Linked DNA regions of Callithrix jacchus. The protein of the gene in region 2 purifies or fractionates together with the protein of the main gene of each other region. This does not show direct contact. Links are inferred from orthologs where the notes say so. Each region holds a gene or a part of one and is shown on either strand. Other genes may lie near its edges.

The links. The genes of interacting proteins can lie anywhere in the genome.
Region 1: the proteins of RAB6B (region 2) and SLC12A4 purify together in Homo sapiens (co-immunoprecipitation; 3 studies listed by BioGRID and IntAct, with this or other methods). This does not show direct contact. The link is inferred for Callithrix jacchus from reciprocal best matches to the Homo sapiens genes RAB6B and SLC12A4.

The regions. Positions count from the first base shown.
Region 1 is NC_133521.1:25,492,424-25,496,901, forward strand, and holds part of SLC12A4 (solute carrier family 12 member 4), read right to left. Parts: intron 3,385-4,478; coding exon 3,253-3,384; intron 1-3,252. UniProt on the Homo sapiens protein: Mediates electroneutral potassium-chloride cotransport when activated by cell swelling. May contribute to cell volume homeostasis in single cells. May be involved in the regulation of basolateral Cl(-) exit in NaCl absorbing epithelia.
Region 2 is NC_133518.1:50,350,604-50,355,081, reverse strand, and holds part of RAB6B (ras-related protein Rab-6B), read right to left. Parts: intron 3,896-4,478; coding exon 3,784-3,895; intron 2,554-3,783; coding exon 2,460-2,553; intron 1-2,459. UniProt on the Homo sapiens protein: The small GTPases Rab are key regulators of intracellular membrane trafficking, from the formation of transport vesicles to their fusion with membranes. Rabs cycle between active GTP-bound and inactive GDP-bound states.

The sequences.
Region 1 (4,478 bases), on a different chromosome or scaffold from region 2:
CAAGCAATTCTCCTGTCTCAGCCTCCTGAGTAGCTGGGATTACAGGCATGCGCCACTGTGCCCAGCTAATTTTTGTATTTTTAGTAGAGACAAGGTTTCACCATGGTGGTCAGGCTGATCTCGAACTCCTGACCTCATGATCTTCCTGCCTCGGCCTCCCAAAGGCTGGGATTACAGGTGCGAGCCACTGCACCTGGTCTTTTCTCTCTCTCTCTTTTTTTTTTTTGAGACGGAGTCTCACTCTGTTGCCAGGCTGGAGTGCCGTGGTGTGATCTCAGTTCACTGTAACCGCTTCCCAGGTTCCAGTGATCCTCCTGCTTCAGCCTCCCAAATAGCTGGGACTACAGGCACACGCCACCACATGTAGCTAATTTTTTATATTTTTAGTAGAGATGGGGTTTCACCATGTTGGCCAGGCTGGTCTCAATCTCTTGACCTCGTGATCTACCCACCTTAGCCTCCCAAAGTGCTGGGATTACAGGCGTGAGCCACCGCACCCGGCCTCAGGAGGTGTAACTGTCAACCTCTGCCAGGAAGATATCCCCAGGTTGCCGGAGGTGGAATCGGTCCTCCCTCCTACATTCTTTAGGCATCTGATATTCCCTACCACAGTGGTTACCATGGGACATGTTAACAGACTATACTTGTGTTTCGTGACCATATTAGGGCAGACTTGGCTTATTTATGGTTCTATCACCAGCAGGACCTGCAGGTACCCAAAAGGTACTTCTGAACCCAGTGAGTGGTGCTTTGGAAGTCCCTGGGACATCCTGTTGGAAAAATCCTACAGAGAAAGTACTCAGGCTGTAGGGCAGGTGAGGAAGATCTAATGTACATATCCAGGCAGGTTTTCTGATCTCAGAGCAAAGTAGGGGCCAGCCAGGAAGCCAGGGCAGAAGCTGAGAGCACAAAGGCTGGCTGACATCTTCTTGAGGCACTGAGCCCCCAAGAGCACAGCCTTCACAGTGATACCCTGACAGCTTCCACTGGAGCCTCAGCAAAGCTTCCTCACTGAGCCAAAGGACTGAAGTAGTGAAAATCATTCAGGGAGAGGTGACACGGAAGCCCCCCGAAAACAGTGCCAGTGCTGCCCTGAAGCTAGAGAGAAGAGAACTCCATGGCTGTGATCTTGTCTAGCTGAGTCACCTTAGACAAGCTCCTTAATGCCCCTCCTGAAGGGGCAGGACCTGTGAGTGACCTAAAGCACTTCAGGAGAGCCTCAGCAAAAACAAATGGCTCCTCAACCATTTGTTTGAGGAGCAGCGCAGGGGACGGATCCCTCTCATCTGGGCTTTGTCTGAGCCCTTCTCAGAGGGTGCCACCCACTGAATAGTGTCAGCAAGAGCTCCCCGTCCCACCCCCATCCCAGGCTGAGTCACTCTGAGAAAAGGGCGGGGCGGGCCGGAAATGCTTTCTGCATCCCCAAATAACCTCTGGCAGCCTTAGGAGGTCATCAGGCTGGAACTGGAGCTGGAGCAGCTACTGGGGAGAGGCTGCTTTGGGTCTTGGAGTGGTCTGGTTCAAGACCCACCCTTCCTGCTCCAAGCTTTCCTTTCCTAAGGCCCCTGCTCAGGGCTGCCCTGGGTAAGGACCACAGCTCAGCAGCCCCAGATCCCTAGGCTTCCTACTGACTCCTTAAAGACTTTACCAGGCTCATCCTTCTTTCATGGAAAAACCACTGGAGCTAGGATACCCAGTCACCCTCTCTCCTCCTTACCCTGAGGCCAGGTAAGCTGAATAAGCTAAGCATTCTCACAGGTTCCCCATTGGGCCAAGGAAGGATGGGCCTTCTCTGGCCCAGGCATCCCTCCCAAACTCCTGCTGAGATGTGCACCAGCCTTTCTTAGGGGCCTCTTCACTCCCAGCCACTAGCCCCCTGGCTTGGCCTGAAGGGACAGGGATGAGGCTGTGACCTAAGGATCCCATTACCCACTGTGGGCAGCACTCTCAGATGTTGAGACACCCCTGCAGTGCTGGACAGAGATGGCCAGACATAATTAGGGTTCTCTGCTATCTAGTCCAGAACATGCCAACAAAAATCACATGTGGCTGGACAGGATCAGGGTCAGGTCTGTGCCACCTCAAGGTATCAGCTGCCCTCTCTGAAGTGTGAGCTGGTTTGCCTCCCCGAAGGGCAAGGTCAGAGGTGTGCTTCAGCGGGGTCTACCTTCTCTGCTGGCCCCACCCCAGCAAGCCCCAAATCTCTGGAGCAGGTGTGAGACTGGAGGCCTGGCTTATCCCAGCCAGGAGCTCCTTCTGCTTGTGCTGACCTCCAAGAATACTACAGCCAGTGCCAGACCTCAGCTCCTCCCCAAATACCACTGCTTTCCAAACCTCAGGGAGTTAGTATGTAGAGAGGGAAGGTCCCTTACCTCCAAACCAAAAATGTAAAAAAATCCCTAGCCCTCAGCTATACTGAGTCCCATGACACAGAGGAGCCAGGCTAAGAGGTAACAGTCACCCTAAAGAGAGGAGGGCTGAAGGGCCAGAGAACTGGATTCATGACCAAAAAGAAGGAGACAGGGAAGCCCCACAAGGCAGCATCAGGCTCCGATCACATATACCCATCACCTGACCCTGGCACTCAAGGAACCCAGGGGATTGTCGGAGGGTTCTGCCAATGGAGCCCCAGGCTAACACTGCGAGTGGCAGGAGGGTTTGTGACTTGCTCTAGATTGCATGGCCTAGAGAGACAACCTGCTTCCTTGCTCCGAGGGTAACACCCTTAGCCACCCTCACACAATGTTATTGATCTGGCATTTTGCGTAGTTACATATCCCACAAATCTGTCTCCCATAAAATCCACAAACCCATCTCCCAGCATTACACAGTGATCTTGTCTCGCTGAGTCACTTTAGACGAGTTCCTTAATGTCCCTGACCCTGCCTCCTCATCTAAAAAGCAAGGACGATAATAGCACCAGGTCTTGGTTTTGTTGTGTGGATGACACATGAGAACCCAGGCCCACTGCCTGCTGTGGCGCCTCGCACACAGTAAGGGCTGAGTACAGGCGGCTGTGACTCCCGCTGTCATTCCTGAGGGCCTCTCTGGCCCTCTGCCTCTGGGGAGATTCTCATTAGCTTGCTTTTTGAAGCCTCCTGAGCCAAGGCATTCAGTGCCCATCCTCCCTGCTCACCATGCTTCGCACCCACTTCCCATGGGGTGCTCACCACCATGTGGGGAAACAGCCAATTCTATGATGTTTTTTCTGTCTTCCCAGGTATGGCCCCTCTGCTGCCACAACCAGCTCACCTCGGCTGCCCTCCGGCGGGTGCCCTCCCCACTCTCAGCCTCCTCATGCTCCTTGGCGCCTTGGGTGAGGTTGGTGTAGCTGACAAGCTTGCCCAGAAGAGACGATACCTTTGGGCGGATGTCCAGTTCTTCCTGTAAACAGAGCCACAGGGCAAGATGGCATTGGGCCAAGCAGGCGCCAGTTGTGCGTAGCCAGCTGCCTGGTCCCTGGCCCTGTTCCAAGCCCTGAGGCAGGCCTGGGCCTGATCCCAGTTCTTCCCTGGGGAAACCCAAGCCATCCAACTGGGCAGGTGTGGGCACCACACCCCAGCACGTGGCACTCAAAGGCCCAGCCCAGTGGCTGCTTTTCTCTGCTTCACCTTGGCTGCAATCACTGCCAGCCCATTTGTGAAAACTACCTGCCTCAGGGGAGAGAGGGCAGGGCAGAACACGACTGGCAGGCGGGCAATGGCATACTTCATCCTGCCTGCTCTGCCTGGCGACCTCCCAGCTATGGATGCACCTCCAGGACTCACATCTACCCTCCCTACAAAAAAGCCACCCTAGTCACCTCAGGGACCCAAAGAGGGCAAAAGAGCAATGTCTGGGACAAGTGAAGTCTCTCTTGTCTGCCCAAACCCTCATCTCCCTGGAGGATCTTCCCCTGATCTCAGTCTTGCAAGTACCCACATCAATTGCAGAGATGGGATCCTGACCTTCCAGCCCATCCTCAGGTAGGGCTGGGCCAAGGCCTTCACTGCAGAACCTTGCTGCTTTCCCAGGTCAGGAGGCCTCCCAGGGCTCAGGCTCCCCAGCCCCACCAGGGTCTAGGTGATGATCCCTGCTCCTACAGCCTTCTCAGTGCTGTGCCTCCACCTTCCTCCTGCCCACATTTAGCCTTTCCCATTCTGTCAGCTCCCTTCTGACCTACCCACAGGGAATAGTTGCTTTGTCCTGAGAAGGACAGATGAGGGCCCTTGGGGGCATGTGGAAAATGAGGAGCCTCAGCTGGATGCTATGGCTCACAGTGGGAATTCCAGCCCTTTGAAAGGCCGAGGGAAGAGGATCACTAGAGGTCAGGAGTTCAAGAACAGCCTGGCCAAGACGGTGAAACCCTGTCTCTACTAAAAATACAAAAAGTAGCCAGGCATGGTGGTGGGCACCTGCAATCCCAGCTACTTGGGAGGCTGAGACAGGAGAATCAGAGCTTTGGGGGTGGAGGTTGCAATGAGCCGAGATCGTGTCAC
Region 2 (4,478 bases):
GAACTGCTATGCTCTGAATGCTGGTCCCCGCACAAATTCCTATGCTGAAAGAGAATCTCCAATGTGACAGTATGAAGAGGTGGGGCTTCAAGAGGTGCTTAGGGTCAGGAGGGTAGAGCCCTCATGGTTGGGATGAGTGCCCTGATGAACGAGGCCTGAGGGAGCCTGTCTGCTCCTTCCACCTAGTGAGGGTACAGCAGGAAGGCGCCATCTAGGAAGAAATGGGCCCTCACCAGACACTGGATCTGCTTGCACCTTGACTGAGGATTTCCCAGCCTCCAGAACTGTGAGCAACACATTTCTGTTGTTTATATCCTACCCCACCTATAGCAATTTGTTACAGTAGCCTGAATGGACTAACCCGCTCTCCTCACAAATGCGAACTGCAGGAACTGGGTGGGCTCTGGGCTCATACCCTCCACTGCATGAGCTCTCTGAAGACAGGGTGAGTCTTATTCATGGCCTCACCCCAGAGCCCACAGGACACTATCCCCTTCCCTGAGCACCCGGGCTGAGTGACAGGGCTACAGGCAGTGAGGGCCCAAGTGGGAAGTTGCTGGTGGGCCCGGCAGGGTGTAGGACCCTTGTGGACAGGCTGCAGAGGGGGCTCTGCAGTGGGGCAGGCATTAGTGGGCAAGGGTACGAAGGGCCTGGGCCACCCTTCCTGAGCTCTCCTTCACGGCCTTGCCCTGGGCAGCTCCAATCTGCTTGTCTGGCTGTGAAAACAGTTACAGCCTCTGCTGGTGGCCAAAATGCCAGTTTGAAGGGTGCTCTAGGGCCAGGTATGGGTTTCTGTGAGTGGATATGCTCACATTTAGATCCAGAAGTCCGCACCACATGGAGACTCCTCTGAGCCACACAGTGTTCAAAATTGACCACACTTAAATGCCTGCTAAACCACTGCGTGGGTTCCAGAGCCCTCTGGGGGTGAAGGCATCAGTGCCTCCCTGACCTTGACTGCGGATGCAGATGCTACCTGCCCTATGGACCTCCTGGTGCTGCCCTCCATCTACATCCCATGACTTTAGGACCCCCAAATAGCAGCAGCCCAGCCCAGTCTCTCCTGCATGCCCCCAGGAAGTGGGAAGGACCGTGACAGCTTCAGCCCACACCAAGGGAGGCTGGGAACAGATGGGAGTGAGTGAAGCCCTGTTGAGGATACTCCAGTTAGGGTGGGGCACTAAGTCCTGGAGCTTCGGGGCTCCCCAGTGTCACATAGTATCCCTTCTACTCTGTCTCTTCTTGTCACTCTGCCAGCCCACCTTCCCCACGGCCACCAGCAGTGCCCACATGGGGCAAACCACCATTGCATCCAGAAGGCCAGTGCTGCATACACAGCTTGCCAAGGGTTCCCAGCAATGCTGGAGTGGCAAGGCAGGAAAGAAAGCCAGGCCAACCATGTTCCTCACCCAGCGTCCCCTCCCCACACCTCGAGCACCCTGCAGCCACAACTCTGCTGCTCCCCTGCTTGGCGTGCCTGCCCTCCTCACCACCTCTCCAAGTCCTTCTCATCCCCAACGGCAGATCTTAACCTTTTCGTGAGCTAAGGACCCCTCTGGCAGTCTGGTGAAGCCTATGGACTCCTTTGAAGTGTGTGAAATCAATCATATAGAATGATAAAGGAAATACTGAGTACTGAAATAAACTGCATTGATATTCATGCTTCCTTATGAACATAATAACTCCTGTGACAGGGAACAGTGATGCATGCAAACTTCAAGATACCTGCAACACCATGAGGTGACAGGCAAGCATCTGTGAATTCTGCTGGTGGTAAAGCCATGGGCACTGCTAAGAAGACTGAGTCACTGCCTACACTCATCATTGAAGGACCAATCAGGCGTCCTTCAGTGCTATGGACGAGTCAGTAGTTACTGAAGATAAAGGTGCAACTTTTTCCAGCCCTGTCTGCTGACCTGCTGAATTCCATCCATGGACTACTCAGGGGGCCTCATGCTGCAAGGTCAGCCCTAACTCCACAGCCCTAACTCTTGTGAGCTCCAACCACACCATGGTGGGTTCTTCTCTCCACGCCTGAGTTGCCCTCCATAGCCCTTAGCACTTGCGAAGTGCAAGGCATGAACCCCAAATGCTGATTGGATTGAATTTTCCTACACCCACCATCTGAAGTGAGGTGAGACGTTAGGGGACCACTGCTTCCCTCAGCCGCCTGGAAGCTGGTGGCTGGACACCCTTAGGGCCTGCTACATGGGCCATGACTGGCCGCTGCTACAGTGGCTGGTGACTTACGTTCTCCACACGCTGTGCCTGGAGTGCTCCTTCCCTCTCTTGGGCTTTACCAGCTCCAGAAATTAGCTCGCCCTGCACTGGACGCACCTATGGGTGTTCTGGTTGGCTGCCCCAACCCCATCACCAGCCCCTCAGGGCAAGGCAGGTCTGAGCCTGCGGCTGACCACAGGGCCACGCCATGCCGGGCCCGGTACCAGGTGTGTCCTCACCTGCTTCACGTTGTAGCCGGTCTTTGCACTGGTTTCAATGAACATGACACTCAGTTCTTTGGCGCGCTGCTCCCCTTCCTCGATGGTTATCTGCCTAGAGATGAGGGGAAGGAGGGAAATCAGCTCCGTAGAGGAGCAGCCCCTGGCAGAGATGAGGAGGGACCCGTCCAGCAGGGCAGAGGGAGCCCACTGGGCCCCTGGTCAGCCCAGAAGACAGGCTCTGATCCCAGGGGCCTCTGCCGGGTGCCAACCACAGTCTCTTAGCACAAAGCGGCACCAGGGAACAGCAGAACACTATCCCCTCCCCCCACTCCTTCCTTTGTGTCTTCTCAGCTTCAATTAGGCCATGGGGCAGGCCTAGGGTAGGACTGCCCCGTACCTGCCTTTCCCAACAGTCACTACTGCAGAGCCTGTGTTTGTGAAGAGATTCAAGCCAGGCAGTGCCACTCTGGGTGGTATTATTAGTCACATTTTCCCTATGAGAACGCTAAGGTTAAAAGTGTCTCCCCCAAGGCCACAAAGCTGAGGGGCTCCACAATGCAGCAGGCAGAAGTGGGTGAGGGTATGAAAGGCTTGGGTACCCTTTGCACTGGGATTTGAGCCCAGTTTTCCTTCCTTCAAGGACAGAACTCTAGTAAAACAGGCTCTAATTCAGATGATCCCTCAGGTGGTCAAGGGACGCTGCGAGAGCCCTGCACTGCTAGCTGGAGTCCACAGCCTATCACTTTGTCTGCCCAAGTCAGGGTCACGTGAGATGAGTGGACAATGTACATACATGGCACCTCAGTCCTCCCTGTTCATGGAGGGCAGTGTGGAAAAGCCACTTTAGAGAGCCTCACGCCATATGCAGCCACAAACCAGGCTGAGCAGGCTCCGGCTATAGGTTTGTGGTCCAGATGCTCTGCATGCACACACCTAGGGCCCGGGGCATTCGCGCCCCCATGCGCACTGGTGTGGACGGTACACAGGCACAGACAGTTTGCAGTGCACACACTGGGGCCCAGGGGACTGCTGTGTCTGGGGCAGTGCTGTGGCCTTACACCGTGCACTGCTGGGCCAAGCCAGGTGCACACATCTGTGTGCAGACAGCACACAGAGGAGTGCCTGGCCCCTGCCTGGCGGTGGAAGGCAGGCCTTCACAGATGAGACACCCATGGGTGAGAGTCTACCAGGTGTTCTCAAAGCTCCTCGTGTCTCAAGGAACCTTCCCCAGATGCATGGCCAGGATAGACACACCACCCATGCACGCCAGAGCTCCCTGTGCAGGAGCAGTTAGAGAGGAGTGGAGGGTAAGCACCCTGCACCTGTGTGCCTTAGCGCCTACCTCTTATCAGCCAGGTCTGTCTTGTTGCCCACCAGCATGATGATAACATCACTGCCCCTCTCTGTCCTGACGTCGTCAATCCACTTAGAGGTCTGTTGGAAGGAGTTGAGATCTGGAGGCAGAAAGTGGGGATAAACTGAAAGGCAGGGCCGACCACCAGCAGGAGAGGGGAAGGGGAGGTGTGAGCCAGGAGCAGGAGGGAGGGTGAGCGCATGCCCTCAGATACCCAGGGAGGGGTGTGAGCTCAGTCAACAGATTAGCCAGGTTGGGACTTTCAGAGGGAACCACGCCCCACCCAGCCCTGGGGAGCCGCTTGCACTGCTCAGCCACCCTCTGTGGGAAAGGAGTCACCCCATCTGGAAGGTCACAGTGTTATGATCTGCCACATGGAATAGTGGCTTTAGGGGCCCACCTGAGAGTCAGACCTGACTCTGGGGATTCAGTGGAGAGTGAGAACTGGATCACACATGTGTGTGCATACACACACATACACACGTACACATACACACAAACACACGTACACACAGGACTTGGCAAGTTTGGACAGTGAGGAGTAAGCAGAGGAGAACACAGCAGTCCTAGGGAAGGCGGGGCCCTACTGAGTGGCCTTCCCACTTCCCATGGGAGCTCAGGGAAGTCTGGCAAGGCCAGAGGCATTTCTGAAGAGAACCGTGAGGCTCTGTAGGGGAAAGGAG